Mus musculus: one gene and its partners. The protein of the gene in region 2 purifies or fractionates together with the protein of the main gene of each other region. This does not show direct contact. Links are inferred from orthologs where the notes say so. Each region holds a gene or a part of one and is shown on either strand. Other genes may lie near its edges.

Region 1 (7,501 bases), on a different chromosome or scaffold from region 2:
CCTCTTTCCCTTATTCAGTATTGATGTAAGTATTGCTAACTTCTGGGCTGCTACCTCCCTCTTACTGTGCCTGCACCAGAGCTTCAGGTCACTGCAAGAACTAGCCCATGCCACTTGAGCTCTCAGGGTCATGTGCTACGAGGGTTCCTTCAGTCAAAAATTTTCATTCTTTTGTCACCTTGTGGGCTTTATGGATTGTAAAGGAATTGCCTACTGAAGAGCAGACCCTGCTCTTATAAGATCGATGGTGATGAATATCCTAGTCCTTTGACGGTTATGGCAGCATTGATGAGCTCTCTCCTTTACTTCCTCTCCCCACGGGTAACCTGACAGAGATGATGGCTGGGTACCAAAATAGACAGTATCTACCTGCTGTGGAATGCTGCCCTGAGCAGCCTCCACAGTTATGTCTGCCTCACGCACAGCCAAGGCAGGCAGGTTTCTGGCTCTTGCTTCCAATGCTCCCCTTATCTGCCAAGTTCCTAGTGGGTGCAGACAGCAGTTGACTAGCAAATAGTCATTGTTCTAACTACCTTATATGTCCTGATGTTCCCCCAATGAGATATGCATTGCTGCTCTTCATATCTTGTTTGTGAAACCAAACTGCATAGAGGTGAAGCAAAGTACCCCCCAGGCCCAGTACAGGCAGAATCCTGAGACCCCATGGATGCTCTGGCCACCAGACATAGTAACTTGGCTGCTTTCAGCCACCTCCTTGTCCCTGAAGTCAGGAAATATGATACACACAGACAAAGATGCACACATATACACATACCATGTATATGTGTACACACACACACACACACACACACACCATCCACATAGGCCTCTAGCCTACAAATTTCTCACCAGTCGTTGTGCATTTGAAAGTCATGCTGCCTTAGAAGCATGCACCAGTCAGATATGGTCGTGGAATCCTATGACAGGCCGACCTGCAGTGTCGTCTTTGTGACTTTTGTCTGTTAGTTAACAGGTTATAAGACCAGGCAGCACTTCAGTCCTTAGAGTAACTGCCTATTCATTGTGCCTAGCTCTCAAGGGTGTGTGGCTAGGTGTCCCTGGTTTCCGTCGCTTCTGTCCCCAGTTGTCTAACTTATATTCTGACAATGCTTCAGAGTCTTTCCTGCCCTCATTAGGCAAGAGAGGCAGTTTTTCCTTTTTGTTTCTGTTTTTTTATGACTGTCATTATGGGAAGTTTGGAGGAATGACCATTGGTTGGACATGTGATGAGAGTTCTTTGCTCTTTATGATGGTCAGTATTTATAGGGGCTCCAAATATTCAATAAGTACACAGGTTAATTGACAGCGGAGGATAAGGCAAAAACACTTGGTGTTTGATGCCAGAATGGTGTCCTATAGCTGTCATAGAACAAATAGTGCTGATCAAGAGAGTCTCGGCTGGAGCTGGAGAGATGGCTCAGCGGTCTATACTCCTCTTCAAGAGGACCTGAGTTCAATTCCCAGCAACCACATGGTGGCTCACAACCATCTGTAATGGGATCCGATGAACTCTTCTGGTGTGTCTGAAGACAGCTACAGTGTACTCATATTAAATAGATAGATAGATAGATAGATAGATAGATAGATAGATAGATAGATAGATAGATAGACAGACAAATAAATAAATAAATAAATCTATCTTTTAAAAAAAGAAAGTCTTGGCTGCATGGACAAGAATGGCAGTGAACATCCTCTAGAAGAATGGTGATTCTAGCTTATCATACTTTTATTTGTTGAGTTTTGTTGTTATCTCTTAGAAGCCTGTTCTTTTCTAATGAGAAACAGAATGAGAGTGGATATAAATGGGAAGGGAAGGAGAGAAGAACTGGGAGAAGTAGAGGGAGGAGAAACTGTAATCGGGATATAGTACAGGAGAAAAGAATCTATTTTCAGTAAACGAGGAGAAAATGAAAATAAATAAATAAAAGACTTTTTCTAAATTCTCAGTGCTACACTGAGTGTAGTCCCACCAGTCTGGAATAAAGACTTTGTAGTCCCACCAGTCTGGAATAAAGACTTCTAATAGATAGATAGATAGATAGATAGATAGATAGATAGATAGATAGATAGATAGATAGATACTTCTGATAGATAGATAGATAGATAGATAGATAGATAGATAGATAGATAGATAGATAGATAGATAGATAGATAGATAGACAGACAGACAGACAGACAGACAGACAGACAGACAGACAGATAGAATGGTGGTTAGGATAAGTGTGCAGTTCATGCATAGATACTGTGTTTGTACCTATTCAGATTTTTGTGGGAATAGAGGATTTGGAAAAGTGAGTGGGAAAAGAAGCAGCCCTTTCTTGATGGTTTGGAATATAGTGCTGGGCTGTATAACTGATGCAGGGCAGCAGGCTAGACACAACAGGCCAGGACCAGCAAAACGGCTTTTAATCAAAAGGTGATCCTTCCCTACCACATATGAGCAGATACCTCTCTATGTGAATGTGTGTAGTGTCAGATTCCAGGGACCTTTTTCTTCTTGGAAGCTGAGTGGCTTTGCTGGACAGGACTAAGTCTAATCTATGGCCCTGTACCCTGTGTCATCTTTCTTCTGAATGGACAAAATGTGGTAAGGTGTTTGAGTGTTCACCCTTCTCTTTGGGTTCAGGAAACTGGGAACTGCTGGGCAGAAACTTGGTGGTGCTGCTGTCCTCTGCCACATCAAGCCTGACCCTGTGGACCTGGGAGGATCCTTTACCCTGACCTCTGCTAATGTTGGCAAGTGCCAAACGGTTCTCTGTCGAAATGGGAAGCCACTGTCTCTGTCCAGGTCATACATCATGAGCTGTGAAGAAGAGCGGAAGAGGATTAAGCAGCACAAAGCCATCATCACTGAGGTGAGGAGCCAGTTTTCCTCAGACAGCAGGAGAACACGAGCAGCACCCCCTGGTGGAGACCCCTCGGGAAACACTTGTCTTCAGAGGAAACTTGATGTTAGTTCAGATGTAGCTTTCCAAGTCCATGGTATTACAAAGTAAATTCCTTGGTGCTGTCTTTAGATTACTGAGGAATATCTCTATGGATTATTATAGAATAATAAGGCAGTCATCAGTTGCATAGAGTTGGGAATGCTTCCTGGGAACTGTCCCAGTGGATCTCAGAGCTACTGGCTAAGTGGCTGAGAACTGGACTCCTGAATCACACTTCTGCTTTGTATCTCAGCTATGTATAAAGTAGATATCAGACACCTGCCTTGCTTTACAATGGTAGTCTGGCACAATAACTGTGGTGTCTGTATAACTATATAACTATTTTCTGTTTTGCCAGTTGAATAATACTGTTCTCAGGGACAGGAGGCAAAAATACAAGGCCTATAGATATATTTGATCATCAAAATCAGCGCATGATTGCCATAGAGAGAGGAGAAGCTAGATCTATGGCTAAAGAGGTTACAGTGTGGGCATAGTCCCACAACAAAGATTTACCTGGTCCCAAATGGCAATAAAAAAATAAAAAAAAAAATTGCTGTTTTAAAACAAAAAACAAACAAAACCAGCTAGAATAACAGTAGAGCATGATCCATTGTCAATGAATCTTGAAAACTAGCTTCTGCAGTTCTTTATTTGCTAATTTACCAGCATGTCAGTCACTCAACATTACCTGGAAGTACCCATACACATCTGCTGACAAGAACCTAACCTCCTCTTAGCAGTAAAACTCACAGAACAATGCACTGTCTGAAGGTGAGAGGGAAGGGGAGTGTCCAGAAGAGAAAAAGAGGCTATGTTGAGCATCCCAGAAAGACACCAAGGTGCCGTGAGTCCTTGGACGTGAGCACACATATAAATTGAGTTCCCTGTCTGTCCCAGCACTGAAGGTTAAAGTGGATGTTGAGCACAGGTTAGGAGAGTGGGCACTGTACTGCTGTCCAGAAGAGTGAGCTGAGCGGCAACACTGTAGAGAAAAAGATGTCTGCCACATGCATCAGAGTTCGTAGGTCAGTTGTGTTATCCCCTTTCCTCCCCTGCTTCTCTTCCTGACTTCTGCTTGCTCTGCTCAGTCTTCAACAGTGACTAGTTCTCACACCACCCCTTCCGTTCCTTGAAGATGCCCTCAAAGCACAAACTGGGGAGAAGGCTGAAGGGTGGCTAGAGTAGCCAGCCCCCACACCAGGCAGGGCGGATTTCATTACTAGAGTCAAGGGTGTTTCAAACTGCTTGAAAGGCTGTTTTACTCATCTTAGTTCCTAGGCTGCCCCCTGGTCTAAGCATGGCTGCTGAGGTCTCTTTGGAAAGGCACCCAGGAACAAGCAGATAACTCGGGAAGCACAGGAGGAGGCAGGCACTGAGCGGAAGCACGGGGCATTCTCTTGAAGAAGCACTGTTTGTGAGTCCAGAGACTCACAAAAGTTGTATCCGCCATTGCAGAACCTTGTGTGGCAGGAAGTGTTAGAAGTAGGAGAGTGGGGGTGGATGTGGCTGTAAGGCAGAGATCCTCACACCTGGAAGGTAGAGAACACAGCAGCTGCATGTAGCTAAGATTTAAAAGTACTCATCTTTTCCCCCAGCAAATGGCCTGGATTTGGCTGCTGGTCTAAATAGAACCAACTGTCTAAGACTGGGCACCATGGTTTCTACATTTGTCCTTGTAAGTCAGGTTCAAGAAAGGCCTAAGGATGGGTACTTCTGTTAGCATTGCCTCTCCAAACATGTGAGCACTGTGACTCAGATACAGACATCCGTGGGTCACAACAGACTGACTCCCTAGCCCTTTTCCATGCTGATTGTGCTGCTGGACAGTCATGAGGTTGGACTGTACCTACCCTGGGTGTTTCTATGGGACTTACCTCTCTAGAATCTAATAAGCATGCATGCCATGTGAGGCTGTACATCAGCTTGTCATGAAGAGACATACCATTTAGTATAAATGCAGTCCCTGTTAAAGGGATGGCTGAAATACTTCTTTTTGTTCCTCTACACTTCAGCCTTTCCATATAGGGTGTGTGAGCCTCCTTCGTGGGATGCCCAACACCGTCCTGTGACCCAGTCAGTGGCCCAGAGGGAGGCTGCTCAGTAACCACATGTGCTCTGTGCTCACTGTCTCTTTGGAAATTTTTCTTCTAGGATGGCAAGGTCAATGGAGTGACAGAGTCCACGCGCATCCTGGGCTACACCTTCCTCCATCCCAGTGTGGTGCCTCGCCCCCATGTGCAGTCGGTGCTTCTGACTCCACAGGATGAGTTTTTCATCCTGGGCAGCAAAGGGCTGTGGGACAGCCTATCCATTGACGAGGCTGTGGAAGCTGTACGCAATGTGCCAGATGCTCTGGCTGCTGCTAAGAAGCTCTGCACCCTGGCTCAGAGCTATGGCTGCCATGACAGCATCAGTGCTGTGGTGGTACAGCTAAGTGTCACCGAAGACAGCTTCTGCTGCTGTGAGCTCAGTGCTGGAGGGAGCATGCCACCACCCAGCCCCGGAATCTTCCCACCATCCGTCAACATGGTCATCAAGGACCGACCCTCAGATGGGCTGGGTGTGCCATCCTCCAGCAGTGGCATGGCATCTGAGATCAGCAGTGAACTGTCTACCTCCGAGATGAGTAGTGAGGTGGGCTCCACAGCCTCTGATGAGCCCCCGTCTGGAGTCCTGAATGAGAGCAGCCCTGCCTACCCCAACGAGCAGCGCTGCATGCTCCACCCTGTCTGCCTGTCTAACTCCTTCCAACGTCAGCTGTCCAGCGCTACTTTCTCCAGCGCGTTCTCTGACAACGGCCTTGACAGTGACGATGAAGAACCCATTGAGGGGGTGTTCAGCAACGGCAGCCGGGTTGAGGTGGAAGTAGACATCCACTGCAGCAGGGCCAAGGAAAAGGAGAGACAGCAGCACCTACTTCAGGTGCCAGCTGAGGCCAGTGATGAGGGCATTGTCATCAGTGCCAATGAGGATGAGTCAGGTCTGTCCAAGAAGGCAGACTTTTCTGCTGTGGGAACCATTGGACGACGCAGGGCTAATGGCTCTGTAGCTCCCCAGGAAAGGAGCCATAATGTGATAGAGGTTGCTGCAGATGCGCCTCTCCGGAAGCCAGGAGGCTATTTTGCAGCCCCTGCTCAGCCAGATCCAGATGATCAGTTTATCATCCCCCCAGAGCTGGAAGAGGAAGTCAAAGAAATCATGAAACATCACCAGGAGCAGCAGCAGCAGCAGCAGCAGCAGCAGCTGCCACCACCACCCCAGCCGCCACAGCCACAGCCACAGCCACAGCCACAGCCACAGCCACAGCCACAGCGGCACTTCCAAATGGATCACCTGCCAGACTGTTACGATACACCGCTATGACCCAGCCTGAGTACTGTTTTAAACAATAAACTAACCAGAGAGACTGAGAGTCTCCCAGGCTCACATTAAACCAGGGGTGTTAACTTCATGCCCTCTCCCAGACACTGCCCCACCTGTCTCTGCAGCTCATCTGTAGGTTCTCTTTGTATTGGTTACTTTTAACAATTAACCACTTTTCTTCTAGTGATACTTTACCAATATGATTTAAATTTGTTAACTTCTTTCCCTAACATATCAACTGTGTAAAGACAAAGAACAAAAGGTTTAATATATTACAGAGAAACAGTTAATGATAATGTAATATTTTTAAAAATGGCTTTTGTTGTTTTGTTTGTTTGGAAGGCAGGGCAAGTTGCCATTGCTAAATGATTTAATAATATTGTAATTGTGTATTTCTTTGTGGGGAAAGCTTTTTTTTGTCTTGAAAATGGTAGACATTTGTAGAATATGGCGACTAACTCCTAGGAGTTGCTTTACTCTGTCAGGTGACTTAAGTCACTGGGAGTCACTAATTTTCTCTGAGAGAACAGTTGATTGAGAAATTTCTATTGTAAATATCTCAGTGTTACATAGTGAAGCTTAAAGTGTTTGTAGTCTTGCATAAGGACACAGCCTAAATAACTGACCCCTTACTCGCTCTGAAGAGCCTCCCTGCCCCACCCCTACGTAGCTCATCTTCAGTGTGGGCCATGTGCAGCGTGTTTCTGTGCAGATAATGTGGCCCTGTTCTCGGGAACCCAGAACCTTTTACAGACATTTTTTAATTGTGTTCCTTCCTGCTGCCACAATCAGCATGACTGTATAGAGTCCCTTATACCATCTACACATCCAGAGTTATATGGAAGCAGAATGCCCAAATGGACATGTCGTAATTTTTGTTATAATAAATATGAAATTTACAAGTACTGAATCTATCTGCTTTTGTCTCAGCATCCAGGTGTGTCTCACAGCCAAACCAGTTTAGGATTAGAAGGAATAGATGGGGGTGAGATTAACCAACATTATGGTTTGGGGTTTGTTTCCTTAATAGTCAAGTTCAGCTGCAGTGAATGAGGTAGTAGAATCGACCTTCTGGTCAACCGCACACACAGCTGTTGTTACCCTTTTCTTTTTATGATTATGCAAGGTAGTCCTCACTGGAAGAGAGGACTGGATGGGGACTGCATAGAGGAGAGCCCTGCAGAGAACCTGCAGACCTCCTACAGAAC
Region 2 (7,501 bases):
GAGCTGGGGCCTGGCTGTGCGCGTGACTCAGGCACCGGGTCAGCTACATTTACTCTTAGTGAAGCCCTCCAAAGGGGGCTATGTTTCACAGTGGGCAGTCTACTGAACCTCTGATTAGATTCTCTGCCCTTATATATAAAAAAACACCACATTCTTTTTTCGAGAATTTAGTTCTTACTTGTTTTACACCTTTATTACTTTTTTTAATATTAAAAAAAAATTATGTATATGCCAATTACGTGGGGATACAAGTGAAGGCCACACAAGGGTGTCAGATCTCCTGGACCTAGAAAGCTAGGAACTGAACTCAGGTCCTCTGAGGGCCCTTGGCCCTCTTCATCTGGAGAGCCTTCACTCCAGCTTCCTCCACCTAACTTTCTAACACTGACTGAGGAACAGGGTTTGATTTAAATGGATATCAGTTTTCCTGCCTGTATATATGGGGCAACACTTACGTGCCCAGTGCCCAAGGAGGCCAGGAAGTGTGTTGGATCCCTGGGAACTAGTAGGGTTACAGATGGCTGTAAGCCACTGTGTGGTATTGGGAACCAAACCCAGGTCCTCTAGAAGAGCAGCCAGTGCCCTAACCACTGAACAACCACTCCAGCCCCAGGAGTTTTTGTTTTTAAGATGTTAGAGTGTTCCCAGCCTGTGTGATCAGTGTTCAGAAGCTGTGGTCTCAGCACTAACAGCCTGCCTATCTTTCTTAGTGAGTGGGGGACAGGAGAGCAGAGTCCAGAAGGGAAATGGTTATTTCCAAGTGCCCCCACACACCCCGGTGATCTTTGGAGAAGCTGGAGGTCGCACACTATTCAGGTATGGATGAGAAAGACATTGCTTAATAAACCAACCCCCTTGCTAGGAAATGCTGCCCAAACAAACATGAGCAGTTGTCATTAAGAGTATCAGTTCCCTGAGATACTTGATGCCTGCTGCAGTAAATGTTAATAATGAAGGGCCAAGGTGAGATTCACACACACACACACACACACACACACACACACACACACACACACACACACACACACACACACACACACACACACCCTGCCCTGTTCCAGATGCCTGCCTCCAGGCCCTGTCTCTGGTGGCACTTTCTCTCTCTTTGCCAGTGTGGTTAATCTGACTGCCAGAGGCAGGAATCAAATATCATCATCATAGCAGTCCCTGCCCATGGGAGACTGGGCCAGGCAAGAGGGCGAGGCTGATCCTTCAAACTGCTATGATCTATACTGGTTCAACCTGGGGTGCAGGAAAATACTCTCTGGGTCCTCCAGGGAAGGGAAGGCTTCCAGCAAGCCCAGGGTGGAGCAGACAAAGTGTTACAGTATCACAGGGTTGTCAGAAGTGGGGATGGTGCTTGCCTTTCCCTTGAATATAGACTTTGTTCTTTGTGATAGTTCCTGAGCGTGGTAACCAAACTACAGCCCTCACCACAGCCGAGGTCTGGGCTGTGCATGGCACTGGCTAGGCCCTGGGCTGAGTGCTCCTTGTGGTGACCCAGGACTCAGAAGCAGCTCTCCCGTCACCTCTGCTGTCCGCAGTGAGCACTGTGAGGGTTTCTCCTCTGATGTCTCCTGCTCGTCTTAACACTGACTACCTGATGGGTTGTGTCTAGGCTGCTCTGCCGGGACTCCGGGGGTGAGACTGAGGCGATGCTTCTCAATGAGACGGTGCCACAATGGGTGATTGACATCACTGTGGATGTAAGTGTCCTTCACTCCCATTTTGTCCTTTGCTTTTCCCAGACATTAAGTCTTACACTGTAACAAAAGTCACCTGCCCGGCGGAATCCCCTCTGCGTGCGTTCGTTCCTGAAGTTCTAAAGGTGCAAACGCATCTGATAGTTATTTCAGACCAACTTTTACTTTTGTCTGGTTTCAGTCAGAACAATAATATAGGCTTATTCTAAAAAGGAAATCAGTGTTTAAAGTGCCCACCTCTTCCCAGCCATCCTCCCAGCCCTCCTCCCGGAGGGAGCACCTAATAGGAGGTTGGTGCAGCCTCTGCTACGTTCCTCACCTACATAAATACATGCTATTTGTGTGCATACATAAGTGTGTAGTTCATTTACTTTTGCACAAAATCTCTTACAGTGTTCTGCAACTTTTTTTTCCTTAAAAATAGTCTTGGACATCTCTCGATGCCTGTGTTTATGGACTGTTCCCTATTTTGTGTGTGTAAGAGTATCATTCTGTATTTGATTGTCCCCTTATTAATGGGCTCACGTTGTTTCCAGGGTTTTGTATTGCAAGCAGTGCTGCAGTGAACATCCTTGTACGTGTATCTTTATGAGCTTTTTAGAATAAATTCCTACAAGTGGAATTGCTGGATCAAAGGGTATGCATGTTTTAATGTGGATAGATCTTGCCGAATCGCCTTTTCACAGAGGCAGCTTACCCTGAACCAACCGTATGTGGTACCCCATTGCCACAGCCACAGCAACACTGCTCTGTCGGCAAACACCGTCTGATGATTTCAGTGTGGATGTTTGGTTACTCATGGTGAGGTTAGGAGTCTTTTCATACTGACCGTGAGTCTCTGCTGTGACCTGCCTGTTGGTCCTTTACCGCTTCTCTAACTGGGTCGTCATCTTACTGCCTCGCAGGTGATCTTCCAGTGCCAATTAACCTGACTCCTCTGCGCCTTCATTAAACTTTTACTTTGTTCAAGGTCCTTTCCCAGGTGGGAACTTGTTATATAGTCAAAGTGGGTTTTATGGCGCTGAGGTCCATGTTTTGTTAGAGATCACCCGGTTTAGAATATCCTTTATATCAACTCTGACTTGACTGTTTTCTTACTTGCCTCTCTGTTTGCTGTAAGGCGACATTCTTTTTCCAGTGAACTAAGCCATATGCCAATGCAGTTTATAGGAATCTGTCCGGTCTACTAATTTGAAATGCTATGCTGTCTGTATAGTGTACTAAATTCCTGCAGACTCAGTTTGTTTCTAGACTTTCTGTGTCCTCTTGACTACTTGTATATCCCTAAAGCCATATGAAAAGGGATTTAATCTCTTGAAACTTAAAAAAAAATTCTTTTCTATCCCAAATACACCTCAAGAACTTAGAACTAGAGTGACACCTGTTGGGTGTCCGTGGCCATCCCTGTCCAGGCTCCCATAAACCACTGTTTCTTTTGAGTATAGAACTCACTTGGGTGCAGTAGTGACCCTATGACATGAGCTGTGTTCCAAAACTGGCTGGATCATTTCAGCTGTCACGGTAGCCCTCCCTCTGTCTGAGGAAGAGGTAGATGGTAGGAGGGCCTGATAGCCTCTCCAGTGGACGATGGGCCATCAGTGCCCAAGTGTCTGCTCAAAGGTGAACGTTCTGGGGTGTTCTCAAAACACTGCAATCATCAGATATTTTGATTTATGGAACTTTAAAAATGTAGGTTTGTTTTCCTGTGCTGCCTTAAATGATAACTTAAGAAGAGCTGTGCCACTGTTGTTGACTACTATATATAATTTGTCTTCATCTATTTTTATTGTAAACTAAGCATACTTGCTGAGAAATTTTCTCTTAAGGCATACTTCTATTGATAACTTACTATAAATTTCACTAAAAGTCACTTTTATTGTAAAAATGGTTATTTGTAAATTGTTTTCCTTTTGATAACATTTTAGTTTTATCAGCTAACAGAAACTATTATACCTCTTAAACTTTTAATATTTCAGAAAAATATGCCCAAATTCAACAAAATTCCTTTCTACCTCCAACCTCATGCATCTTCAGGAGCAAAAACTTTAAAAAAGTAAGTAACTGCTGTGCTTCCGTGCGCTGGTCACTGCGGTGCCTCTGTCCTTTAGCTCCCTTTATCAGATGGAGGCAGGTGCTAGGTTGAAGGCCATTGCTTTGGGTTTTGTCTCCTCTCAAAATTAAGTTTAACCCATAGTTGCTGACACTGCCTTTTAAATCTTAGCACTTGGAGGCAGAGGCAGGGGCCAGCCTGGGCAGTAGAATGGTGAGTTCCAGGCCAGCCAAGACTACATAGCAAGACCATGTAGCCATGTGTGATGGCACACACCTATAATCCCAGTTCTTAGGAGGTAAACAGAGGGGATCCACAGTCTCCAAACCAAACAGTTCCTTTGAGGATAAAAACCTGTGTGTAGTGGCTGCTTTCACAGACCTTAGGAAAGGATGAAAGTGGGAGCAAACCAGCTCTGAACAGAGCCTTCTAGGAGGACAAGAAATCTCACCTGAACACACATGGATGGGTGGAGTACCCAAAGACAGACTTCCCAAACAGGACCTTGCTCGGGTACCAGAAATGGTATAGAGATGTGTGCTCCCATACATAGGATGGCGTGAAACGATACAGCTGAGTCAGAGGCTTCCTGACTCGGAATTTCAATGCCAGGTCACAGAGTGCAGTTCCACTAATTCCTGCTAGGTAGATATGGCTCAAAGACAAGCTTACAGCAGAGGACTTGGAGTCTGAACCATAATCGGTGTGTATGGCTAGCGAGTGAAATCAACGAGGCTGTTAAAACTGTCAGAGGGATTCCCAAGCTCACACAGAGGACAAGTTCCTGGTGACCCAGCAAATGAGGACAAACCTCTGTAATACTGAAACATAGTGTCCAACCCACACTTCCGCCTGCCCCTCCACCTCCTCCACATGCACGCATTGGATCACTTCAGCAAGCCGTAGACGCCACTTCAAGTGGATTTAATGACTCCACTTGAAGATCCTTGAACAGTTTGACCTGTAGCTGTGAGATAGGATAGTAGTTTACTGATATCAGAGATAAGGGCTTAAAAGTGAGGGACTTCAGTTGTGTAATGCTGGGTTTGTGGTCTGAGCAAGCTGTGGCTTAATGTCTAGCCTGGGGTATTCATTGTCTCCTAGTTGAAGGCACAGCAGTAGGAGATAACACTGAGCCCTTGGTCCTTAACTGGTGGGTCTACCCAGGCTTTAGCCGAGGGCTTGGAGGCATATAGTACAAGTGGCTGTTGTGTGTGCATGAGCCCTCGAAGGCACCACAGGATCTCTCCTGACAGATTTCAAGTGATTCGGAGCAATGACTGAAAACATGTATTGATTTCAGATGTCTGTTTATATTTATCTTGAGATATTGACACAAATGAAAAATAATAAGAGATTTTTGATATGAAAACCCATCTTTTCTAGAGACAGGCTGTCTGCCAGTGACATGCTGCAGGTCCGGAAGGTGATGGAGCACGTCTACGAGAAGATTATCAACCTGGACAATGAGTCCCAAACCACCAGCTCTTCTAATAATGAAAAGCCAGAGCAGGAGAAGGAGGAGGACATCGCGGTATTGGCAGAGGAGAAAATTGAACTTCTGTGCCAGGACCAGGTAAGTGGACCCATGCAGAGGGGCCCATAAAGTCACAGACCACGTGCTTTGTGGCCTCTCAGGTGTCTGGAGAGCTGTGTCTCTTGGAAACTTTCTTCAGCACACCTGAAGCTCCCTCTCCTGAGGGAGGTACTTGGGAAAGGACAGATTTCCAGATGCTCATAGTAGGGCTGTGCTGGGTAAACTGGTGCTATCTGTCACAGTAAAGAACTTGGAGTAGAGGTGGGTGGAGAAGCGATGAATTACAACCAAGACAAGCACTCTGTCATCAGGCAGGGTTGAGCTGGTGAGCCGCAGAGGTACACATTTCAGATTCCATGTATGGAAGCAAAAACCAGGCTCCTAGACACAGTGGGGAGCAAGCTGGACCACCTGGCAGAGTCCCTGGTTAACTTTAGCTGTTAGTGATGTTGACATTCTCAATGCACTTTGGCTATTCAGGTTTTGGACCCAAATATGGACCTTCGGACAGTAAAGCACTTCATATGGAAGAGTGGTGGGGACCTCACCCTCCATTACCGTCAGAAGTCCACGTGAGGGTGGGCCCATGCTCCTGGGTTCTTCACCAACCACCTTTCTCTGTGGCCCCAAGAGTAGTCCTAGGAAGCCCACCACGTCCTACGGGAGCAAGACCTCCAACCGGCCTATTTGGTGACGTGACTAATGGAGATGTAATATAGAAACCAGGCTCCATGCATAGATTAAGGTGTCCCCAGGGACTCAAGAGTGCAAGGACAAGCCCCTGGCACTGTCCGGGGAGATGTACAGAGAATCTACAACAGGCCAGTGCAGACTTCGCTGACTCCTTTTGAAGGACCCCCCTTTGTCTCTTAGCACTTGTTAGAGAACATCAGCGGGGCCACATCAGTCGCCATGTTTCAGTTTCAAACCCACAGGCTCTGCAGCTTTTCCAAGTACATTCCACTCATGCAGTACCTATGAAGGCTTTTTCCAAATTTGTCATTATATAAAAAAAAACAAGTTGTTTTCACTATGTAAGAGTTATTTTTAATGGAAATCACTGTTGCACAATTCAAGAGCCAGCCCATTTCCTGAGAAATGACCATGTTGGGCTACTTTTGAAATGCCACGTCTCAGCTGTGCTCTTGTAGGAAGACCTGCAACTCCAGGGCTGGAGCCTGCGCAGCACGTGGACCTGCAGGCTGCCACCCACAGCCTGTGCTGCGCAGTGCTGCCCATGGCGCCCTGGCTGTCCGATAGCCCAAGCTGCTGTGGCCACTCCTTCCGCCAGTCTTCCTCGCGGGCAAAGCCAGCGAAGCCACAGCTTCCTGCTCCGCGTGAGCAGCACGACAACTGTCAGAACTTACGGCCATGCTGAAGTTGCAGTTTCATTCAGATGCTACCTAAAGTTTATGTTACTAGAGTAAAAAGATCTCACAGTGAGTTGGTTTGATATTTATATTGTGGTTCATGTTTGTTTTTCCAGTTTTATACACGGGCTTTTGTTACGCCTTCGTCCAGGTCTTTCTGCCGTCTTTCTAACAGTCAAAAGCTTTCATAGACTCACTTGGATCTTGTACAGAATATTAACTTATTGGGGATAAACACTTCAACTTTTGGCAAAAACTACTTTGGATTCTTCCCAAGGTCATTTACATTCAGACAAATGGTCCAGCCCGTGAAGCTGCAGGAGATGAACCTTTGAGCACAGCGGAAGCACACGTGCCTTGGGGGTGGGGGGTGCAGCTTTCCCCATCCGTCCGTCTGCTCCTGCCTTGTGTGTGTGGTCCCTGCCCACAGGAGCACAGGGGAGGGGGGCTTGGGGAAGAAAGATGTTTTCTCTCTATCTCACAGGTCCTGCAGGGAACAGCTGAGGGGCCCAGATCTGTCCCTTACAAATTGACTGCAGAACAGGGTCCCCTCACTTAACTCTGGAACACAGACAGGCCATGGCTTCCATACCCTCAAGTGAGCAAGAACACTTGCCAGTGTTAAACCATTCTCCGCCCTAGAGTAGCCAGCTTTTCTACAGAAGTCCTTTCTATGCTGGACACATCGGTGCACTTTTGGTGCATATTTTTTAGTGATAGCTATAAAGTAAAAGCAGGGGGTGGGGTGGTCGTGTTTGCAGGAGGGGCCTCTGCACTAAGCGTAGGGTTTGCTGGTTGGTTCACTGGCGCAGTACTGATCCACAGGCAGTTGTGCCCCTAT
Region 3 (7,094 bases), on a different chromosome or scaffold from region 2:
TTGCGTGTGCATAGGTGTGTGTGCCTGTGTGAAATATCTGTGGCCAGAGGCCTGGGGTTCCGTAAGTCAGAAGGTTCTCGAAGGGCATTAGAGCTCTGGCACCCGGGCTCCTCTGTGCCAGGTTTTCGGTTGTGTGTGTTGCAGGGGGAGGAAGTGGGAACGGCTAGGCTTTCCCTCAGGAAAGCTGTGAAGGGTTGACACCCACACCCCCTCCACGTGCCAGGCATGAGTGGTGAGGGCTGGGTTACTGTAGGTAGGGTCATGTTAGAGGCATGGGGGCCCACGTAAGAGGGCTTTTGCCTGCTGCAGCATAGGTGGCAGGAAAGCAGCGGGGACAGAAAGGATGGCGTCCTTCGGGCACTTCCCTCCCTTTCCAGAGCTTGGCCATTGCCACCTGTGTGCTAGCAGAGCAGGTATGTCAGCATCCTGGGCGAAGGTGGCCTATAAGGGGGAAAACTGCTCGCCTCAGGCATTCTCTCTATTTCCACCTGAAGCCCCAAGAGGCTCAAAACCTCCCAGGAGGTGGAAGAAGATATCCAAGTCTTCCCCCATCTTCTGCTCTTGTGTGTGTGTGGGGGGCAGGACACCCCCACAGCTAGATTGTGCCGGGGTGTGCAACTTTGTGGATGTGGATTGGTGTGTGAGCAGGAGAGGAGAACGCTTGGGTTCAAGGCATTTGGGTGGGCATTGGGGTAGTGGCATATGTCATGTAAAAATGAGCTCTGAGCAGGTCACATCACCCCATTGAGTATGACTGGAGACAAGAGTATGGTTGTTCCAGGAAGTATGCTGGCCACCTTTCGTAGTCCTGGATAACTGCATCTGTGTTGCCTGGCTCTCTCTCGGTTCTCTCGGACCTTTTCTGGGAACCTTGTCGGGACTGAGCCTTGAGTTTCCAGTGGGAAGAGTCCACCTTTAACCCAGCTCCTGTCCCTCTCATGACCCCCTAACCAACCTCACTTTCCCTAGGATCCAAGTGAACGACCTGCTGGTGGAGGTGGATGGGACGAGCCTGGTGGGAGTGACCCAGAGCTTTGCAGCCTCTGTACTTAGGAACACCAAAGGCCGAGTGCGGTGAGAGTCAAGGGAACAGTCAGAAAGCTGGTCCTCTCCGCACCAGGTCCCTGCCCGGGGAATTGTGCCTGCAGCCCCCTGCCAGGCCTGCCTTCCCATCCTGAGATCCCTGATCACCACTGAGACTCAGGCTTCCACTCTCCTTGTTCCTCCATGTTCTCCTCTCGGTTTATTCTCCTCTTCTTCTGCCTCTGGCTCGCCTATGGAAAACCAAACTAGCTTCTCCCACCTAGAGCTTCATCCCAGGTCCTGTTGGGCTCCACTAAGTCTGTGTGCTCCTCTGGCAGGTCACCTGGGAACTGCTGCCTGCCCCACTTCTAGAGGGGCACTGCCCCCAGGAAAGGGTGTTAGAGAGAAACAGGATGTGGGTGGCCAGGGGAGGGGGGAGGAGCTGATGCCTGGAAGTCCCACTGTTTCCTCCCCGTGCTAATCTGCAGTTGCCATCATCCTGCCCCTTCCTGACCCGGGGCTTGGAGCACACCCAAGTCACACCTCTACAGGCTATTCCCCATTCCCGAGGATGGGCCATTTTGCCCACTCCTGTGCTGTTGGCTTGGCTTGGCTTTGTGGTTGTTGTTTCCTCTTTGGTGGGAACAGCTCCTATGCCGAGAGCCCCTGAGCCCATGTCCCCTGTAGCCCCGAAGCATGGTTGACAGCCCCTTCCCACAGCTGGCCAGGAAGGTGAGCAGGTCTTCCTGCTTCTCCTGGTAGGCAGCCATGTGAGAGCCCCAGCTCCCCTATTCATTATTTATTCTACAGCTTCTGGACTCAGGCTCTCAGTTCACCTCCCCTGGGAGGGCCTAGGTTTGGAGGGAGGGCCCCACACAACAAGGAAGGCAGTGGCATTCCCAGCTGTAGCCAGGCTGGGGTGACGCCAGAATGACAGATGACTCTGGTGCCCCTGCAGGTTCATGATTGGCCGGGAGCGGCCTGGAGAACAGAGTGAAGTGGCCCAGCTAATTCAGCAGACCTTGGAGCAGGAGCGATGGCAGCGGGAGATGATGGAGCAGAGATACGCCCAGTATGGAGAGGATGATGAGGAGGTAGGGCCGTGACTGCCCTCTGGTGGTTAGATGAAGCAGCGCACTCATTTGCCTCAACTACTTTTTCCAGGCTTGGTAAAACAAAAAGCAAAAAACAAAACAATAACAACAAAAAACCCCCAAGTCCCAGGGGAACTTATGGTCTGAGAGAGAAGCAGACCCTCCCCTCAGAGAACTCCGGGTCAAACAGGAGAGTCCCACTCTTCTGCCTCCCTATAATTAGAAGGAAAACACAGTCCTCTCTGAGTCTTTTCTCTGGGGGGAGCCCCTAATCTAGGGAGCCTGATTAGGAGAGCGATGGGTCCTCAAGGAAGCCGAGTTATGGAGGAAACAGTACAGGGGGTTCTGCAGGCCTGCAGTGTCCCTATTCTAGCCGTGGAGACCCCCCAGTCCAACATGAGCATACTGCTGCTGGTGTCCGGCCTGGCTGCAGGGTTGCTGAGGGAAGTGGAGTAGATGGACCCACATTGCCTGCATCCCTCCACAGACAGGAGAGTATGCCACCGACGAAGATGAAGAACTGAGCCCAACGTTCCCAGGGGGTGAAATGGCCATTGAGGTGTTTGAACTAGCAGAGAACGAGGATGCGCTGTCCCCCGTGGAGATGGAGCCCGAAAAGCTGGTGCACAAGTTCAAGGAGGTTGGAAAAGGGGGGCCCTGGGACAGTGGGGGAAGGCAGATGGGTAGCTGGCCCTAGGAGCTGAGTGCCACCCTCTGTCCGCAGCTCCAGATCAAGCATGCTGTCACTGAAGCGGAAATCCAGCAGCTGAAACGGAAGGTGAGGGTGCGCGTGCCTGTGTGCTCGTGAGTGCCTGCTGAAGACCCCGGCTGAACGCTGGAGGAGGGAGCTCTGCCTTCACACAGGCAGCCTCCTAACATACGACGGTTTACCATGGGCTACTGTGAGACCAGGGATATCAGGATTAAGGGCCCAAGAGCTCTGGCCCATCTGTTCCCCTATTCATTCACTTGGGTGTCTTCCCCCTCATATGTAAGGTGTGGTATAAGAGCATAGAGCTGGGTAGATGAGAAGCCACTGGGACGATATATGGAAATCCTGCAGCAGAGCCAGGAAGGCTGCAGCCTGCTTTAGGGTCAGTGCTCAGTCGAGAGTCAGTATCAGCAAGTCCACGGTGATGAACCAAGTCTTACTCCTTGTGTATGTGTGTCCTGCTCAGCAGCCATCCACTCTGCACGGGCCCTGAGATAAGATAGAGACTTTTTGACACAGTGGTGCATATAGTGACACACGCCAGCCTGAATCCACAGACCCATTCAGTTAGACACCTACACACTCCGTCTGCACCGATAATGATTTCCAGACACCCGTGATCGATTCTGTCAGGGGCATTGTGGCCTGAGTAGGTAGACCCATTCTGTCCTTGAGGTTCCAGAAGCGCACAGACACAACCACCATTCAGGCCACCCGGCCTAGGAAGAGTGTCAGAGGACGTGCACAGTTTTACCTGGGCCAGCAGCACACATGCTCGTACTAACAGCACCAGCTGGTAACCACACATGGCTACTGTACATGCCTACCAGATGCTTACAAGCACATTGGGTACCCACACGCTCCCAGGCATTGGAGACACACAGATTTCTATATATTGAAGGAGTCCCAACTCCCACGGGGTTTCCGGGATAGTAGGATAAACCAATCTCCAGGGGCCATGGAGATGCAGCACAATAGGAATATGTGTGTCCTCTCCCACATAGATGGAGGAGGGCAGGGGACGGGCATCCAGGGCAGTGCAGGGGTTTCTGGGAGCTTGCAGGCTGACTTTGGAAGGAGGCCTGGTAGGGTATGGTAGCTGTTCCTGCTGAGAGAGGTGAAGAGGCAGCTAGATGGTGGGAAAGCTAGAAAAATCGACACTGTGTAGACCTCACCCTTCAAGAACTGTAGCCTCGGTTCTGCAGGCACGGAGCTGTGGACCCTAGAATTGTGTTCGAAGTTCACCATCTAGGAAATGGGGGCGGGTGTGGGAAGGAGGCTTGGGGGTAAGAAAGACTTGAATATGGACAAACTGGTTAGAGGCTTTGTCGGAGGCTGTCAGGGAGAGTCAGGATACAGGCCAGGGATGAGAAGGAAGGACCAGGCTGCATTTTTTTGGGGGGGTGGGTGCTCTCAGGACATGAAGCAGACGGTGGGTCACAGGTGGTTTCAGGAGTCACAGGTGGTTTCAGGCTCAGAAAGCAAAGAGGCATTCAACTGACAGACATCTAAGGTAACTTCCAGACAGCTAATGCCACTTCAGGCACAGTTAGGAGTAAAGGCAGAATTGACCCTGGTCCTCGTGTGTCTTAATGAGTCTGCATACTGTTATGTTTCTACCTCAGCCTCTAGCTCAGGAAGAACCCTGTCCCGTTGCAGGGCAGGGAATGCTGCCCTACTGAAGTCCCAGCAGGCTTCTCTGGGAAATTGGTACACAACAGGCTTACAAGGAAGGGTAGATGGGGCATTCCTAGCAGAAGGAACTACCTGAAAAGGCCTTGTGGCAAGTGTGAGGGTCTGCAGGAAGGCCTGAGGCATCTAGGCTTAGAAAGCACGAGGTGTTTGCAGCAAGCAAGACAGAAGTACAACCAGGACCCGTTTGGACTGCTGTGGGACAGCAGCATCTTCCACCAGGCAGGGAAGTGATAAGAGCAGGCTCAGGCTGGGGGGGGGGGGGGTCCAGGGAACAGTGCCGTTTGGGGCATGGTACCTCAGACTTCGAGGTGGGTCTAGATTAGGTACAGGATCCTGCGGGAGCTCAGGACTTGGGGCTCTGTGCATAGAACTGCTGTGTGAGGTGCTGCTGTTTGAAGCTACAGAGAGCAGAATGCAGACTGAGCTGTCAGGAATCCAGTCCCCTGGGAGCTGGAAAGGGGCTGGATTATTCAGGAATCTCCAAAGATAGGGACTGGTCAACAAACCAGGGCTACAGAGGGCTGGCTCAGAGCTGGTCTGGTGGTGACTGTCTTTCGTAGCTACCATCTCCCTAGCCCTGAGGCATGTCACTCCCATCTTTAGGATAAGGCAGAAGTTGCTAATTGGTGGTGACTCATGGGTGCCTGCTACCGCCCCTAGCAGAACTCTAAGGTCAGCCTCAGAGAATTAGTAGCTGGGGGCCAGTTGGCTCCAAGAGTGCAGGAATCCTTAGAAGCTGTTGGCTCCCCCCAGGGCTCACTCTGGTCTCCTCCAACCCAGGGCTGCTCTTTTCTCACAGTTGCAGAGTCTGGAGCAGGAGAAAGGGCGCTGGCGGGTAGAGAAGGCCCAGCTGGAGCAGAGCGTGGAGGAGAATAAGGAGCGGATGGAGAAGCTAGAGGGCTACTGGGGTGAGGCCCAGAGCCTGTGCCAGGCTGTGGATGAGCACCTGCGGGAGACCCAGGCCCAGTATCAGGCCCTGGAGCGCAAGTACAGCAAGGCCAAGCGTCTCATCAAGGACTACCAGCAAAAGTATGTGTCAAGAGCGTTGGGTCTAGGCCCAGGCAGGTGGAGGGGCCTTTAGTGGTAGTCCCCACCCCAGCCTTCCTCCCGCTGAGGAGGGAGACAGTGGACACAGAGTTAGAGGGCACCACGATGGGGTACCAGACTCAGCCCTATGGGCCTTGGGAAAGCCTGCTTCTCTCTGGACCAAAGCCACACCATTCACCCGAACCCACCATCTGTTCCTTGCCTGTCTCCAGGGAGATCGAGTTCCTGAAAAAAGAGACAGCCCAGCGTCGGGTACTGGAAGAGTCGGAGCTAGCCAGGAAGGAGGAAATGGACAAACTTCTGGACAAGGTAGCGCCCTGGGCAGCCTACAGAGTGAGCAGCATGGAAGCTGGAATCCAGTACTCACTTAATCCATGGTGTTTGGGAAGGATTGTGGTGCTGGCTGGGAGCTCAGGGTCGTAGCTTAGGGTGGGGGTAAAGTTACAGGGCCCGTGCTGAGTGGCCAGGCCTGATGCCTCCTCTCTTTGTTCTCTAGATCTCAGAACTGGAAGGAAACCTGCAGACACTGAGGAACTCCAATTCTACTTAACAGGAATAACTCCTTGGCCGGACAATAATAATCCCCTCCCATTATCCTCACCCCCTGTCCTCAATCCCCACCCCACCCCTACCAGCCTGGGGACAGGTGCCCCGACTTCCCCTACTCCTCCACCCCACCTCCCCCAGCTTCAGGGACCAGAGGGCCCATATTACAGGCCCCTTTAGGGTGGCCAGGGCAGACAATGCTGGCTGGAAGAGTGGTCTCCTTGCCCTGTGGGGCTGAGGCGCAGAGGCCGAGAGAAGCTAAGAGCTGGCCTGGGTGGTGGATGGACACGAGGACCTGCAGACCAAACTGCCAGACTTTATAACCTCCAGCCTGTGTCTCTGGACCGGAGTGGAGCTGGGGCTCTCCCAGCATCTCACCACTTGGAGGCTGCTCCCTGCCCACAGGGTCCGTATGGCCCCTGGGCCTCTTGACTTGAGATTCTCCGTTCTTGGCCCTTTCCTCTTCCCCCATCATTGTGCTGTCTGTTGCATTCTGGCCTCCTGCTTGGAGGGGTTGCCTCAACATCTCCCACCCCTGCTCCCCATCCCAGGAGGGATAGAGCCCACCCTTGAGCCAGAGGCTGGGCCTGGGCCTGCACTGATTTGTATCCTTCAGGGGGAGGTGATTGGGCGTCGGGGGAAGGGTCAGTCCAGCACACCTGGGGTCCAGCACCCCTTTCCTAGGAAGGGCAACAGCCCTCAACTTCTCCTTGTGCCTCCCCTCTCCCAGGTGCCAAACAGCCATAGGCGTCCTCCTGGAACTGCCCTGAGGCCACTCTGGGCTTCTGGTTTCCTTGGTCTAGCCCAGGAATGCCAGGAGGGAGGGAGGTCAGCTTAGATGGTGTGCCTGCAGAGCTCTCCCTGGGGAGCTAGGCCCTGCCTAGGGCCACACCTGGAGGCCTTGTATTACCATCGAGGAGACTCTGCCTCCCCTCTTCCCCTCCCCCGCTGTTTTCCAACGTTTTCACTGGAGGGCA

What was found.
Region 1: the proteins of Wdr48 (region 2) and Phlpp1 purify together in Homo sapiens (affinity purification with mass spectrometry; 5 studies listed by BioGRID and IntAct, with this or other methods). This does not show direct contact. The link is inferred for Mus musculus from reciprocal best matches to the Homo sapiens genes WDR48 and PHLPP1.
Region 3: the proteins of Wdr48 (region 2) and Ppp1r9b purify together in Homo sapiens (affinity purification with mass spectrometry; 3 studies listed by BioGRID and IntAct, with this or other methods). This does not show direct contact. The link is inferred for Mus musculus from reciprocal best matches to the Homo sapiens genes WDR48 and PPP1R9B.

What each region holds. Positions count from the first base shown.
Region 1 is NC_000067.6:106,387,048-106,394,548, forward strand, and holds the end of Phlpp1 (PH domain leucine-rich repeat-containing protein phosphatase 1), read left to right. Parts: intron 1-2,626; coding exon 2,627-2,855; intron 2,856-5,081; coding exon 5,082-6,293; 3' UTR 6,294-7,198; downstream 7,199-7,501. UniProt on the Homo sapiens protein: Protein phosphatase involved in regulation of Akt and PKC signaling.
Region 2 is NC_000075.6:119,918,939-119,926,439, forward strand, and holds part of Wdr48 (WD repeat-containing protein 48), read left to right. Parts: intron 1-710; coding exon 711-816; intron 817-1,618; coding exon 1,619-1,706; intron 1,707-3,679; coding exon 3,680-3,756; intron 3,757-5,139; coding exon 5,140-5,329; intron 5,330-5,770; coding exon 5,771-5,866; 3' UTR 5,867-7,501. UniProt on the Homo sapiens protein: Regulator of deubiquitinating complexes, which acts as a strong activator of USP1, USP12 and USP46. Enhances the USP1-mediated deubiquitination of FANCD2; USP1 being almost inactive by itself.
Region 3 is NC_000077.6:94,999,238-95,006,331, forward strand, and holds part of Ppp1r9b (neurabin-2), read left to right. Parts: intron 1-969; coding exon 970-1,074; intron 1,075-1,981; coding exon 1,982-2,117; intron 2,118-2,604; coding exon 2,605-2,757; intron 2,758-2,841; coding exon 2,842-2,895; intron 2,896-5,323; coding exon 5,324-5,553; intron 5,554-5,783; coding exon 5,784-5,880; intron 5,881-6,067; coding exon 6,068-6,121; 3' UTR 6,122-7,094. UniProt on the Homo sapiens protein: Seems to act as a scaffold protein in multiple signaling pathways. Modulates excitatory synaptic transmission and dendritic spine morphology. Binds to actin filaments (F-actin) and shows cross-linking activity. Binds along the sides of the F-actin.